2 linked regions of the Anolis sagrei genome follow. The protein of the gene in region 1 purifies or fractionates together with the protein of each later gene. This does not show direct contact. Links are inferred from orthologs where the notes say so. Each region holds a gene or a part of one and is shown in the gene's direction. Other genes may lie near its edges.

What was found. The genes of interacting proteins can lie anywhere in the genome.
Region 2: the proteins of PPP6R1 (region 1) and ANKRD52 purify together in Homo sapiens (co-immunoprecipitation; 3 studies listed by BioGRID and IntAct, with this or other methods). This does not show direct contact. The link is inferred for Anolis sagrei from reciprocal best matches to the Homo sapiens genes PPP6R1 and ANKRD52.

What each region holds. Positions count from the first base shown.
Region 1 is NC_090026.1:20,852,261-20,860,811, forward strand, and holds the start of PPP6R1 (serine/threonine-protein phosphatase 6 regulatory subunit 1), read left to right. Parts: upstream 1-5,204; 5' UTR 5,205-5,398; intron 5,399-8,551. UniProt on the Homo sapiens protein: Regulatory subunit of protein phosphatase 6 (PP6). May function as a scaffolding PP6 subunit. Involved in the PP6-mediated dephosphorylation of NFKBIE opposing its degradation in response to TNF-alpha.
Region 2 is NC_090022.1:138,444,011-138,451,839, forward strand, and holds the start of ANKRD52 (serine/threonine-protein phosphatase 6 regulatory ankyrin repeat subunit C), read left to right. Parts: upstream 1-4,589; 5' UTR 4,590-4,769; coding exon 4,770-4,796; intron 4,797-7,829. UniProt on the Homo sapiens protein: Putative regulatory subunit of protein phosphatase 6 (PP6) that may be involved in the recognition of phosphoprotein substrates.

The sequences.
Region 1 (8,551 bases):
ATGGATTCGGGGTCCTTCTACACAGCCGTATAACCCAGAGTATCAAGCCAAATAATTCACAACTGGGATACCTGAGGGCTCCTCCACACCCCCTATATCCCAGTATCTGATCCCACTGCCAGATAATCTGGAATGAACAGAAAACCTGGGATCAGATCCTAGGATATAGGACCTGTCTGGAAGGGCCCTGAGTCACACTGCATATAACCCAGTTCAAAAGCAGATGTGGGATTTTATTCAGCGGTGTGGAAGGGGCCTAAAATAACCCAGGACCCTTCCATGCAGCAATCCGGAGTATCGAGGCAGAATAACCCACAATATCTGTTTTGAACTGGAATATCTGAGTCCACACTGCCACATATCCCAGTTCAAAACAGATATTGTGGGTTATCTGCCTTTATATTCTGGGTTATATGGCAGAAGGGGCCTAATTTTAATTGAAGCCACATTAGCCTTATGGTGAATCCATTGACAAAGAATCTGCACAGAAGGCCCTCCATCTATCTATTTATCTAACTACCTATCTATTACATATAGCCTAAGGGCCTCATCACACTAGAGAAAAAATCCGCTTAAAATCTGGTTTCTGCCTCCTGCAGAATTCTAGGGTTTGTAGTTTAGGGAGGAGCCTCGTCAACTCTCAACCAATTCAACATAGTTGGTATTTATTTATCGTGTCAGGGGCAACCAGACTATTGTATTACATTTTTAATAGAACAAAACAAACAAACAGGTTAAAAAAACCCACAAAGTTTGCAAACTTGGTAGTTGATTAAATGTCCTTTGACCAGGTTGCAACAGCAAGAACAAACTACAGAACAACTAACTGTTTCAAGATTGGGAAAGGAATATGGCAGGGCTGTATACTCTCACCCAACCTATTCAACTTGTATGCAGAACGCATCATGCAACATGCAGGGCTTGACAAATCCAAGGATGGAAGTTAAAATTGCTGGGTGAATATTAACAACCTTAGATATGCAGATGATACCACTTTAATGGCTGAAAGCGAGGCGAAGCCGAACTCCTCCTCGCTTTCTAATCAAGGTGAAAGAATAAAGTGCAAAAGCTGGGTTGCAGTTAAACATAAAATAACCCAAGATGATGGCAATTAGATTGATTTGACAACTGTAAAACAGGGAGTAAATGTGGAGGCAGTGGCAGACTATATTTCTAGGTGCAAAGATTACTGCAGACGCAGACTGCAGCCAGGAAATCAGAAGACGTTTACTTCTTGGGAGGAGAGCAATGTCCAATCTCGATAAAATAGTGAAGAGTAGAGACATCACACTGACAACGAAGATCTGCATAGTCAAAGCAATGGTATTCCATGTAGTAACCTATGGATGTGAGAGCTGGACCATAGGGAAGGCTGAGTAAAGGACAATAGAGGCTTTTGAACTGTGGTGCTGGAGGAAAGTCCTGAGAGTGCCTAGGACCGTGAGAAGATCAAACGAGTCCACCCTCCAGGAAATAATGCCCGGCTGCTCACTGGAGGGAAGGATATTAGAGGCAAAGTTGAAGTACTTTGGCCACATAATGAGAAGACAAGAAAGCTTGGAGAAGATAATGATGCTGAGGAAAATGAGAGGAAAAAGGATGACAGGCCACCAAGGGTAAGATGGATGGATGGTATCCTTGAAGTGACTGGCTTTACTTTGAAGGAACTGGGGGTGGCCACAGCCAACAGGGAGCTTTGGTATGGGCTGGGAGGAGACATGATTGTTGTTTGTTCAGTCGTTTCTGACTCTTTGTGACCTCATGGACCAGCCCACGCCAGAGCTCCCTGTCAGCCGTCACCACCCCCAAATTCTTCAAGGTCAGTCCAGTCACTTCAAGGATGCCATCTATCCATCTTGCCCTTGGTCTGTCACTGTCACATTTTCTCCCTCTATTTCCCAGTTGTTAATCATTCTTGTTGCTATAATCTTGTTTTTTTTTTTAAATGTTTAGCTGCAACCCAGCTTTTGCATTTTCTTCTTTCACCTTGATTAAAAGGCTCCTCAGTTCCTCCTCGCTTTTGACCATCAAAGTGGTGTCATCTGCATATCTAAGGTTGTTAATGTTTCTTCCAGCAATTTTAATCCCAGCCTTGCATTCGTCAAGCCCCGCACATCGCATGATGTGTTCTGCATACAAGTTGAATAGGTTGGAGGAGAGTATACAACCCTGCCATACACCTTTCCCAATCTTGAACCAGTCTGTTGTTCCATGGTCAGTTCTTACTGTTGCTAATTGGTCCTTATACATGATAAAGGTAAAGGTTGTCCCCTGACATTAAGTCCAGTCGTGTCCGACTCTGGACTTGCCCAATCTTGAACCAGTCTGTTGTTCCATGGTCAGTTCTTACTGTTGCTAATTGGTCCTTATACATGATAAAGGTAAAGGTAAAGGTTGTCCCCTGACATTAAGTCCAGTCGTGTCCGACTCTGGGGTGTGGTGCTCATCTCCATTTCTAAGCCGAAGAGCCAACGTCGTCCGTAGACACCTCCAAGGTCATGTGGCCAGCATGACTGCATGGAGCGCTGTTACCTTCCCGCCGGGGCGGTACCTATTGATCTACTCACATTTGCATGTTTTCGAACTGCTAGGTTGGCAGAAGCTGGGGCTGACAGCGGAAGCTTACACCGCTCCCCGGATTCGAACCTGCAACCTTTCGGTCAACAAGTTTAGCAGCTCAGTGCTTTAACCCACTGCGCCACCGGGGCTCCGGTGATACATGATAGCCATGTATAAATAAGTGAGAGCAAGTCATAGGAAGGAGGGAGCAAACTTGTTTTCTGCTTCCCTGGAGACTAGGACGCAGAACAATGGCTTCAAAGTACCGAAAAGAGATTCCACCTGAACATTAGGAAGAACTTCCTAACTGTGAGAGCTGTTCAGAAATGGAACTCTCTGCCCCAGAGTGTGGAGGAGGCTCCTTCTTGGGAGGCTTTTAAGCAGAGGCTGGATGGCCATCTGTCGGGGTGCTTTGAATGCAATTTTCCTGCTTCTTAGCAGGGGGTTGGACTGGATGGCCCATGAGGTCTCTTCCAACTCTATGATTCTCTATGAAGTCATGAAGAGCCAGAAATTATTGAACAAATACACAATGGCTGTGTGGAAGGGCCTACATTTCAACAAGCAATAATACTCTGAGACTATCCTGAGTGATTTGAACTACAACTTTTCTAAATGTGAAACCAAGAGGAGCTGCATTGGATTTTATGGGGCTTTGTGATTGATAAAGGCTACAGAGCTAGAAGACACACTGTTACAGCGCTATTTTTCTACTTTATCTGCAGGATAACTGATAGTTCCCTCCTAATGAATTCAACCTGCTTTGAATCCAGGGAAAGTACGCAAGCAAGCGCTCAAAATCCACCTAAAAATGAGCTAGGCCAAGAAGATAGGCCCAGCGCATGCGCAACAGATTTTCTTAGTCCCTCCATCGGCGGGAAGAAGGAAAGACGAGAAGGAATTCGACGCATGCGCAGATGCTCTCCCTAGTCTTTACTTCAATTCCCAGAATTCCTAAAATTTGGTCCTGCTGGCTGGTGGTACTCTTGGAAACTGGAGTTCAATGTCCTGTAGAACCACTGGCCTTTGGGGGAAAAGGAGGAGAAGGATGAACCAAGGAGAAGCCAAGCGAGAATTCTGAAAATGGAGAGAGGGAGCCCGACGCATGCGCAACTAATTCCCCTAAGTCGGAGGGAGGCTGATTCCCGTCGGACTCCCATTCCTAAGCCTCCCTCATTCCTGACTTAGAGGAATTCGTTGCGCATGCGCCGGACTTCCAGTCCTCTACCAGGAGTCCGACGCATGCGCAACTAATTCCCTAAATCAGAAATGAGGCTGAGGAAAGGGAGTCTGACGCATGCGCAGCTAATTCCCCTAAGTCAGGAATGAGGGAGTCTGAGGAAAGGGAGTCCGACGCATGCGCAGCTAATTCCCCTAAATCAGGAATGAGGGAGTCTGAGGAAAGGGAGTCTGAGGAAAGGGAGTCTGACGCATGCGCAGCTAATTCCCCTAAGTCAGGATATATTTTTTGTCGTGTCAGGAGCGACCTGAGAAACTGCAAGTCGCTTCTGGTGTGAGAGAATTGGCCGTCCACAAGGACCTTGCCCTGGGGACGCCTGGATTGATTTGATGTTTTTATCATCCTTGTGGGAGGCTTCTCTCATGTCCCCGCATGAGGAGCTGGAGCTGATAGAGGGAGCTCATCCGCCTCTCCCCGGATTCGAACCTGCGACCTGTCAGTCTTCAGTCCTGCCGGCACAGGGGCTTAACCCACTGCGCCACCGGGGGGGGGGGGGGCTCCGACGCATGCGCAGCTAATTCCCCCAAATCAGAAATGAGGCTGAGGAAAGGGAGTCCGACGCATGCGCAGCTAATTCCCCGAAGTCAGGAATGTGGGAGGATGAGGAAAGGGAATTTGACGCATGCGCAGCTAATTCCTCGAAGTCAGGAAGGAGGGAGGCTGAGGAATGGGAGTCTGACGCATGCGCAGCTAATTCCCCTAAGTCAGGAATGACAAGAGGCTGAGGAAAGGGAGTCCTCCCCTAAATCAGGAATAAGGGATGCTGAAGAAAGGGAGTCTCACGCATGCGCAGTTAATTCCCCTAAGTCGGGAATGAGGGAGGCTGAGGAAAGGGAGTCCGACGCATGCGCAGGTAATTCCCCTAAATCAGGAATGAGGGATGTTGAAGAATGGGAGTCCGACGCATGCGCAGCTAATTCCCCTAAGTTAGGAATGAGGTAGGCTGAGGAAAGGGAGTCCGGCGCATGCGCAACTGGTCTCCCTCTTCTTTTAGGGAGTCATATGTCCAAAACAGATTGTTAGGAATTGTGACAGTTGAAGTCCGAAACACCAGGAGGGGCGAGGTTTGCCCATGCCTGGTCTAGGGTAACTCCCAGGTATTTTGGCGGGTGGGCTTAAATACAGAAAATGGAAGGTGAAGAGAGTAAGCCCGCGCATGCGCAACTCATCCCCGTTCGTCCCTCAATCGGCGGGGGTGAGGGAATCCGAATGACGCATGCGCAGTTTGCGCTTCCTACTCTTTTTACTACATTTCCCAGATATCTCAACCCTTTGCCTCAGCGCTTTGGTCTTCTGGGAGTTGAAGTCTTAAAGGTTGGGAGCCAATCGCATTGGAGAAAGGGGGAGGAGGAGGGGGCGGGGCCAAGCCTGAGGGGAAAGAAGCGCGAAGAGGAGGAGGAGGAGGAAACGGCGAGTCGGCCGCTGGGAGGCGCGCGCGCGCGGGGGATTGTGGGATCGCGGCGGTGAAGGGAGGAAAAAAAAAAGTGGAGCGCGAGCCAGCGAAAGAGCCGCCCCCCTCCCTCCCTCCTTCTTCCTTCCTTCCTTCGCAAGAGAAGAAGAAGAAGAAGACTGGGGCAGGACGAAGGGGGCTCGAGCCCGGTGAGAGAGAGAGAGAGAAAGAGGGGGAAAGGGGCTGGCGGTGGAGGGGAAGGGAAGGGGGGAAGGAGAGAGAGGGAGGGAAGGCCTGCGCCTCTCAGGGACTGAGGGGAGCTGTGTGTGTGTGACAAGGAAGGGAGCTGCCGCCATTTTGGAGCTCCCTCTGGGAGACCCTCCCCCGGAATAGCGCCCCCTCCCCCACAGGCGTGATCTTTGCCCTTTCCTTCCTTCCTTCCTTCTCCTCATCCTTCCTGTCCAGGCCCAGCTCTTTGGCCTGTGGGTAGCCCTTCCTTCTTCCATGCCTTCATCTTTTATATATGGTTGTAATCCCCAAGTTACCAAAAAGATAGGCTTTGTAGCTTTGCTCTGAAGTTAAATTTGGATGCAAGTCGGAACAGGTACATTTTAAAAGTGTCACTCCTGCCAAATATATAATAATGATAATGATAACTGGGTGCCGTGCCAAAAGATCTCAGCCGGCATTTAGAAACAATAAACATTGACAAAATCACGATCTGTCAATTGCAAAAGGCCACCTTACTTGGATCTAATATATAATAATAATAATAATAATAATAATAATTGGGATCTCGGCCAGCATTTGGAAACAATAAACATTGACAAAATCACGATCTGTCAATTGCAAAAGGCCACCTTACTTGGATCTAATATAATAATAATAATAATAATAATAATAACTGGGATCTCAGCCGGCATTTGGAAACAATAAACATTGACAAAATCACGATCTGTCAATTGCAAAAGGCCACCTTACTTGGATCTAATATATAATAATAATAATAATAATAATAATAGCTGGGTGCCGTGCCAAAAGATCTCAGCCGGCATTTGGAAACAATAAACATTGACAAAATCACGATCTGTCAATTGCAAAAGGCCACCTTACTTGGATCTAATATATAATAATAATAATAATAGCTGGGTGCCATGCCAAAAGATCTCAGCCGGCATTTGTAAACAATAAACATTGACAAAATCACGATCTGTCAATTGCAAAAGGCCACCTTACTTGGATCTGCACGCATCATTTGAAAATACATAATAATAATAATAATAATAATAATAATAATAAAACTTTGTTTATATACTGCTCTATCTCCCCGAGGGGACTCGGAGCAGCTCCCAGGTAACATCTCAAAACATACAAAGTAAAACGACATAACCATAAGATTAACAAAACAATATAAGCATTAAAACATCACACAGTCCTAGACACTTGGGAAGTGTTCGACTTGTGATTTTGTGATATGAAATCCAGCATATAGATCTCGTTTACTGTGACATACTGTGATGTCAGTAAAATATTATTATTATTATTAATAATAGAAAACTGGAAAAAGCTGACCTGATATGAGGATTTAAAGATCGAACTGCAAAGACTCTGGCACAAGGTGGTCCCAGTGGTGATTGGCACACTGGGTGCAGTGCCTAAAGACCTTGACCTGCACTTAAACACAATTGGCGCTGACAAAATTACCATCTGTCAGCTACAAAAGGCCACCTTACTGGGATCTGCATGCATTATTCACCGATACATCACACAGTCCTAGACACTTGGGAAGTGTCCAACATGTGATCCAATACAACAGCCAGCAGATGTCTGCTGTGGACTCATCATGTTGTGTTACAAATAATAATAATAATAATAATAATAAGGTAAAACAATAAATGTAATAATAATAATAATAACAACAACAGAGTAAAATAATTAATAACTGACTTGAGTATAAGTCACCGATACATCACACAGTCCTAGACACTTGGGAAGTGTCTGACGTGTGATCCAATACAACAGCCAGCAGAGTGATCTTGTTTGCTGTGGACTCGTCTTGTTGTGTTTCAAATAATAATAATAATAATAATAATAATTAATGTTTGGCAAAAGTATGATAGCTGGGACCCAATGCCGAGAAAGCGCAGCAAGTGAGAGATGCAGGTACGACAGTCGTGGCAACATAGTTCACCAGAAAAGGGGGGGGGGGGTCAGTAAACAGCCAAGCATAGTGCTTAAGGCTATATAGACATCGTATGCAAACACGTTCAAATGCTTAACATCTTCGCTTCTCTAAGTCTGACCTGCATCGCGCAAACAGCATTGGGTCCCAGCTATCATACTTTTGCCATGTTTGTTTATATCCCGCTTTTTCTCACCATGCAGAGACTCAAAGCGGCTCACAATACCACTTCAAATATATAAATAGTAAAACAGTATTAAACATTATGTTGTCAAAGGCTTTCGTGGCAAGAATCATTGGGTTGCTGTGAGTTTGAGAAGCCCTATACGCTTTGGGTTCAACCTATCTTTGTGACAGCATCTCTTTCTATGAACCAGCACTGGCTCTGAGATTGACATGGGAGGACCTTCTCTTGGTCTCACCTTCATCTCAAGCATGGTTAGTGGGGATAAGAGAGAGGGCCTTCCCTGTGGTGGCCCCCTGGCTCTGGAATACCCTCCCAAAAGAGATTAGATTAGCCCTCCTCTTCAGTCCTTCCATTCCAGTCTGAATAGGCCCATATGAAGCTGACCCATGGCACCTTGTGAATTGACACAATTTCCCATATGAATATGATGCTATGGTATTGCAAGTTAAAAACAAAATAAAACAAAGGAGTTATTAAATATCAAAAGACACTTGTTGACTTTTGATATTTATATCAGGCATGGGCAAACATTGGGCATCCAAGTGTTTTGTACTTCTGGCTGTTAGGAATTCTGAGATTTGAAGTGCAAAACACCTGGAGGGCCCATGCCTTATATATACATGTATACATACATACATGTATACACATACAGGTTTCTCCAAAAGTTGCCATACATAGGGAAAATGGAAAATTGTAGCTACATTTATTAACAAAATAATATTAATTACAAAATATTACAAAACCCTTCCAATATTTTATATATATATATATACTATTAAGAATATGTAATATAATGTAAAATATAATCTGAGTTTGTTACTTTTTCCTATGTACTGAGATTTTGGGGATAATCCATATATATTATATGTGAAACAGGCACATAGACAGTAAGAAAAATAAAATAATGCACTGCAAACTACATTACAATACTATATAAAAAGACATTGTCTTGTATTTCTCAGCCTAGTGCAAGCTGTCAGGTGTGTTTTTCTA
Region 2 (7,829 bases), on another chromosome or scaffold:
TCAGACAGCATGGCAACCTAAGCCAGATTTACAGTCAGCTAATGACATAATCTTTAGGAAAACACCCTTTGCTCTGAGCTGGCTCATTTCATATTCTAGATACTTTATGTCTGGTTTTAAGATGCTTTATATTATAGGAAGGGTTTTGTTCTTACTGAAAGGCAGTGGTAAAGAGTTTGGGGGAAATTCCCAAAAACAAACTTTGATTTTTCTGCCTCCTGATATGTAGACATAGTTTGCTATTACTTCCTGCCATTTCACAGATCCATAGGTTCTCTCTGACATTCATCAGAGTTGGTCTCCAGTTTAAATAAGTTGTGTTATTCTACTACATCATTGTATGTAAGGACACCTGAGCATCCATGGATTTTGGTATTCACGGGGGGGGGGGGGGGGGAGACGTGCCTGGAACTAAATTCCAACAGATACAGAGGGCTACTCTACTTCAATATTGAACAAAATAAGCACAGAAGGAATATGGGATCTGTCCCGCTGAGGTTGCCCAAATCTTTATTAATTTATTTTATTTTTTTATCCTGCCTTTCCCTTGACAATAGGGATTCACAGCATCTGATATATGAGGCTTGCCTCTTTGTGACTAATGCTGGAGATAGTCTTGCTCCCATTTCACAAAGCAGGCCTCACCCCATCTCACAAGGATATGGTCAAATTGCTCAGCCAACTGTGCTTCAGCTCTTTTGTCTTTCTTCAAAAAGGCCTTCTCTAATATAATTTAATGCTAGAGTTAGCCATGGAAAGCTTAGCCTTCCCATATTAATTGAATAGTATCTTAATCCCAAAAACGATATACGAAGCTTTCCACAGCATCAAGGTAAACACCACTGCTAATATCTGGATAATATGAAAGCGAAAGCTGGCAACCTTCAATCTATTGTTTGCAGTACAGTGGAGTTCTCAATGAGGAGCGGAGAATGCCAATGGAGAGGTATAGCACCCTCTACTGGGTCTCTGCAATAAAGGTAACTTCAGGAACACATCTTGTAAAGGCAACACATGTATTTGAGGATGGGTACTTTGTTGCCAAATAGAAAGGTGTAATAAACACATGTAAATTATTGAAAGCTTGAGTCTGAGCTGAAAAAACACCTCGTTGTTGTTGTTGTTGTAAATGACCCAATGAATGAGAGTCCTCTACATCCACATTGTACAATTAATGCAATTTGATACCACTTTAACTACCCTGGCTCAAGGATAGGGCATCATGAGAGTTGTGATTTCACAAGGTCTTTAGCCTTCTCTGCCAGAGTGCTGTTGCCTCACCAAACTCCAACTCCCAGGATCCCATAGCAGTCAACTAATGATGGGTTTTTTTTGTTTTTGTTTTTGTTTTGCCGTGTCAGGTCTGATTTGAGAAACTGCAAGCCGCTTCTAGTGTGAGAGAATTGGCCGTCTGCAAGGACATTGCCCAAGGGACACCCGGATGTTTTGATGTTTTACCACCCTTGTGGGAGGCTTCTCTCGTGTCCCCGCATGGAGAGCTGGAGCTGATAGAGGGACTCATCCACACTCTTCCTGGATTTGAATCTCTGACCTGTCGGTCTTCAGTCCTGCTGGCACAAGGGTTTAACCCACTGCGCCACCAGGGGCTCTATCAAGGCTGTTAAAGTGGTGTCAAACAAAGTGCAGATGGACATCAACATCCCTGCTCAGATTTTCAGACTCAGGGCCATGGCTTTCTTGACTGAGTTCACCCATCTCTAATGTGGCTTTTCATGGACAGCCATCCAAGGCCTCATAGGGGGTTAATGTACCCACCATCACCTTCCAGAGCTGCCCTCTCCTGCAATAAAACATGGGCAGAATATCAATAGCATCCTCTTAAAATGTCTTGGTTGGTGGGCTCTTCCCACCGATGTTTATACAGTATGTGAAAGATAAATACAACAGAGAAGAGCATCTTTCCCTGCAATAAAATTATGTAATGCATACATTTTCTTGGAAGATATTCAAGTTTCAACATGGTGCAGTCAGCCCTTCACCTTCATTGGAGTTAGGGGCTTCCTGATGTGGGGGAATAGCAACACCCCCCACGTGTTTCAGGATTCAGCAACATATTTGTGTTCATTGGTTACAGCTCTCTTTCTCCTTTTGTTCCAGGAAAACTTGCAGTGGTACGGGAGATGATGGCTTGCAGATTGGCACTTTGCCCCATACTACCATTTTGAGTAATACTGGGTAAAACAATCACTTTCCCCTTTGAAATGAAACACCGAGCCTTATAAAACCTTTCTCATAATTTCCCACTTCCATAGCATTATATCAGACATTGTATCATACATTGCCAGCCAAATACAACTGTGATGCCAGCTTTCAATTTGTAAAGATATATTTTCTTCTTCACAGTATACAGTGTAGTCTGTACAGCCTAATCCTGTGAATGTGTACTCAAAGTTTGTCTTTAACATGGGTAATAGCAGACAATATTAATAGCCCTATATTGTTGTTTATTGCTTTCAGGCCTATGTCTCAAGTATTCACTCTTGAACTGAACATTAGGACCTCATCTGGTTAGGCACACAAAACCTTGGGATGTGACTGTTGATTAGGCTCCATCTACACTGCTATATAATGCAGTTCGAAACCATTTTATATGGTAGTATAGACCCATCTTAATAGACCCATATTAAGATAATTGGGGGAGGGAGTTACAAAAGAAGAAAGAAAAAGAAAAGAAATTAAATAGATTATAGATTTATAGGCTGTTAAGGGTTAGGGAGGAGGGAAGGAATTGCAAAGAAGAAGAAGAAGACCACCAACATTCTGTTTTCCATTCCTGAGTTGGGATTATAGTCACTGCTATTTTGTTGTTGATTCATTCATTCATTCCCTTCCAACTCTTCGTGACACCTCCCCCAGCTCCTTCAAGGTCCAGCCAGTCACTTCAAAGGTACTATCCATCCATCTTGCCCTTGGTCGGTACCTCTTCTTTTTTCCTTCCATTTTTCCCAGCATCATTATCTTCTCCAAGCTTTCCTGTCTTCTCATGATGTGACCAAAGTACTTCTTCTTTGCCTCTAATATCCTTCCCTACAGTGAACAGCTGGGTATTATTTCCTGGAGTATGGACTTCTTATGGTCCAAAGCACTCTCATAATTTTCCTCTAGCACCACAGTTCAAAAGCATCTATCTTCCTTCGCTCAGCCTTCCTTATGGCCCAGCTCTCACATCCGTAGGTGACTATGGAGAATACCATTGCTTTAACTATATGGATCTTCGTTGCCAGGGTGATGTCTCTTTGTTGTTGTTCATTTGTTCAGTTGCTTCTGACTCTTCGTGACCTCATGGGCCAGCCCACGCCAGAGCTCTCTGTCAGCTGTCACCATCCCCAGCTCCTTCAGGGTCCAGCCAGTCCCTTCAAGGATGCCATCTACCCATCTTGCCCTTGGTTGGCCCCTCTTCCTTTTTCCTTCCATTTTCCCCAGCATCATGATCTTCTCCAAGCTTTCCTGTCTTCAGGATGTGGCCAAAGTACTTCATCTTTGTCTCTACTACCCTTCCCTACAGTGAGCAGCTGGGTATTATTTCCTGGAGTATGGACTTCTTATGGTCCAAAGCACTCTCTCAATTTTCCTCCAACACAACAGTTCAACAGTGTCTATCTTCCTTATGGCCCAGCTCTCACATCCATAGGTTTCTATGGGGAATACCCAGGGGCGGCTCAACCCATTACACAAAGTAAGCATTCGCAGTATAGTTGATTTTGGCCAGGGGCGCTCTTGAGGCGCTCTTGGGGGAAAATAGACCTTGACATATGTGAGTTCGGTTGTAGTTACTGGGATTTATAGTTCACCTAAAATCAAAGAGCATTCTGAACTCCACCAATGATAGAATTGAACCAAATATGGCACACAGAACTCCCACAACGAACAGAAAATATAGATCAGTGATTGGTTGGGGTGGGGGGACCAAAATATTGTTTGCTTACGTTGAAAATTACCTAGGGCTGCCTCTGGGAATACCATTGCTTTAACTATGCGGATCTTTGTTGCCAGTGTGATGTCTCTACTCTTCACTATTTTATCAAGATTGGGCATTGCTCTCCTCCCAAGAAGCAAACGTCTTCTGATTTCCTGGCTGAGGTCTGCATCTGCAGTTATCTTTGCTCCTAGAAATACAAAGTCTGTCACTGCCTGCACGTTTTCTCCTTCTGCTTGCCAGTTATCAATCAGTCTGGTTGCCAGAATCTTGGTTTTTTTGATGTTTAACTGCGACCCAGCCTTTGCACATTCTTCTTTCACCTTGTGTATGCAACTTGCCAAGTGTATGCAATTTAACAAGAAGGCTGCTCAGCTCCTCCTCGCTTTCGAGCATCAAAGTGGCATCATCTGCTGGAAGGAGCACAATACACAGATTTGCCGGGTCAGCGCATGCGCACAATGGCTGTTCTCCGAGGGCCGTGAGCTCAGACTCGCCTGCCTCCTTCTGCTCCGGGGCCTGCAGTGGCGGGGCCGGCCCGCTAGGGGCGCTCTCCCGGCGGGGCCTGCTCTCTTTCTCGCCCGCCTGCCTGCCTGCCTTCCTGCGAAGGGAGGGCGGGCTCAGTCCCTCCTCCTCCTCCTCCTCCTCCTCCTCCTCCTCCTCCTCCCTCTGCTGCTGCTCCTGCCTCGGCGCTGCCTCTCCGGGAGCCTGCCTGCTTGCTTGCCTGCGTGCCGCGGCGGCCACTGAAGCGCCATCGATGCCGGGAGCGCGGAGGCGGCGGTGGCGGCGCTCCTGCTGCTGCTGAGCGAGGTGGGGGCGGCCCCGCCCGGAGATGGGGATCCTCAGCATCACGGACCAGGTATCCCGCGGGAACGCCGAGGCCTCCCCCTCCCTCCCGGCCGCGCCCGCCACGCGAGCCTGGGGATGCGCGGCCTAGTCCGGAGCCGCCCCTTCCTCGCTCGGCGGGAAACTCCCCTCCCCGCCTCCCCCAGCCTCCTTGGCCCCGCCGCCCCAGAGGAACCCCCTCCTCAGTGGGGGAAGCCAGGAGAAGGAGAGGAGGAGGAAGGCGGGCCTCGGCAACGCCCGCCTTTCCCGCCCAAGGAGGCGCAGCAGCGCGGCAGGCAGGCAGGCCTCCCTCCTCCTCCTCCTCTCCTCACTGTGGATGGACGCAGTTTGGCCCCGCTCTCGCGGCCATGGCTCGAGGCTAGCGGACCCACTTTGCAAGGCCTTCAGCCCAAGAGGGATGAAAGCGCGTCAACAAAAAGCCACAGCTCCCAGGATTCCATAGCATTGAGCCCTGGCGCCCCAGGGAGAACGCGGCGTCCCTTCTCTTGCTCTTCCTTTCTTCCTTCCTTCCTTCCTTCCTTCCTTCCTTCTTTTCCAGTCCTTGCCGGGTTGCCTTCCACGGCGCCCCCTCCCCCGGCCATGATGCCAAGGCCGCATTCGGGGAGGGAGCCTCGTCGCCGCCACCGCCGCCGCCTCAGGGCGCGTCTGCACTGTCGAACTAATGCAGTTGGACACCGCTTGAACTTCACTGGCCCCATGCTATGTCATCCCCGGAGTTGTAGTTTGGAAAGGCACCAGTTTTAGGAAAGCATGATCTTTTAGAGATCAAATTACTAGAGGTTGTAATTTCCAACAACTAGTATCCTTTGGATTATTTAAAGAATCACGGAATCTAGGTTGTAGATTTTTTTTGGGCTGTATGGCCATATTCTAGAGGCATTCTCTCCTGACGTTTCGCCTGCATCTGTGGCAAGCATCATCAGAGCCTCAGGCCCCTTCCTTCCCCCCCTCAGCCGCTTAAGCTGAGGCTCTGAAGATGCTTGCCACAGATGCAGGCGAAACGTCAGAAGAGAACATGGCCATACAGCCTAAAAAACCTGCAACAACCCAGTGATTCCTGCCATGAAAGCCTTCAACAATACATAATCACAGGATTCCCCATGGTGCAATGGGTTAAACCCTTGTGCTAGCTGAATCCGGGGAGCGCCCTCTGTCAGCTTCAGCTTCCCATGCATGGACATGAGAGAAGTCTCCCACAAGGAGGGTAAAACATCAAAAACATCCGTGTGTCTCCTGGGAATGTCCTTGCAGATGGCCAATTATCTCATACCAGAAGTGACTTGCAGTTTCTCAAGTTTCTCCTGACATGGAGGGAAAAAAAAGAATTACAGAGTTGGAAAAACCACAAAGGTCATCCAATCCGTTCTGGGAATCACTGGGTTGCTGTGAGTTTTTCAGGCTGTATGGCCATGTTCCTGCAGCATCCTCTCCAGCAGCATCCTCTCCTCCGTGATTGTAGGAATCACTAAGTTGCTATCAGTTTTTCAGGCTTATGGCCATGCTCCAGCAGCATTCTCTCCTGAAGTTTCACCTGCATCTGTGGCTGGCATCTTCAGACGAACCTTCAGATGTGGCTGATATCTTCAGAGGCTCATCTGAAGATGCAGCGGAACGTCAGGAGAGAATGCTGCTGGAGCATGGCCATAAGCTTGACAAACTGATAGCAACTCAGTGGTTCCTACAACGGACTGGATGAAGGAAACAATGAAAATGAACAAAATCTGGCTATCAGTATTTTTAAAAAAACTCTAAAATCACATCAGCAAATAAAGAAAAACACTTTGAAAACACAGGAATTCCAGACAAGAAAAATCAGGCCTCTCAACTAAGGATTCCCCCAGGCAGGAAGCAGCCAGGCTTTGAAGCTGCAAGGCTTTTCAATGCTAGTCAAGGTGATTAATTGCACCATTCACACTTGCCTCCAACATACAAGAGTTCTTTCTCCATCTCTGGATCTTCCACAGATATATAAACCTCTCTCACTTAGTTCCAATATACCTCAGAACCTCTGAAGGTGCTGCTGTAGATGTGGGTGAAACGTCAGGCGAGAATGACCATTGGGGGTGCTTTGAATGCAGTTTTCCTGCTTCTTGGCAGGGGGTTGGACTGGATGGCCCACAAGGTCTCTTCCAGCTCTATAATTCTATGAATGCTTCTGGAACATGGCCATGCAGCCCGGATAACTCACATCAGCCCAGGATTGGATGATTTTTGCAATCTTTCCTACTTTGTAATTCTACAAGCTGTAGTTATCTGCAAAACTCACAGTAACTCATCATCCAGTCCAATCCCATTCTGCCATGCACATAATCAAAGCACCCCCAACAGATGGCCATACAACCTCTGCTTAAAAACATCCAGAGAAGGAGACTGCACCACACTCTGAGGTAGCACATTCCACTGCTCTTACCTTCAGGAAGTTCTTCCAAATGTTCAGGTGGAATAATTTTTCCCACAATTTGAATCCACTGCTCTGTGTCCTAGTCTCCAGATATGCAGAAAACAAGCTTGCCCCCTCCTCAGTGTAACATCCTTCCATAGCATTGAGCCATGGCAGTTCAAGTGGTGTCAAATGGCATTAATTCTGCAATGTAGATGCATGCTCTCTTCTCCAGGAAGTGGAGCAAGGAAGATTTTTTTTCTCCAGAGGTCGTTTCTCCTCTCCGCTCCTCTGTTGTGAAAGGAAAATTCGGTACAATTCCTCTATCTGTCTTAAAGGCAGGCTTGGGATCCAAGTGGCAACACTATTTCTTGGGCACTGTCTAGTGCTGCACCTCGCTCTGCCTCTCCCTCCAGATTGAGGGGCTTCCTCTTTTGTATTCCCTTATTTACACATGCCAAAATGAACCAAGTCTGTCATTTCCCAAAATACCTTCTTCTATATAAGAGTCCTTTTTATAGACAAATCATTTTCCCATGATGTATATGTGCAGCATATTAGGTTGCATTTCTGCTGATCGGCAAGTCAAATTTTGGATACTGGTGCATGTTACATTTGCAAAGCTTACAACTTGCCCTGTCTGTAATCTCTCTGTGTAGACATTTA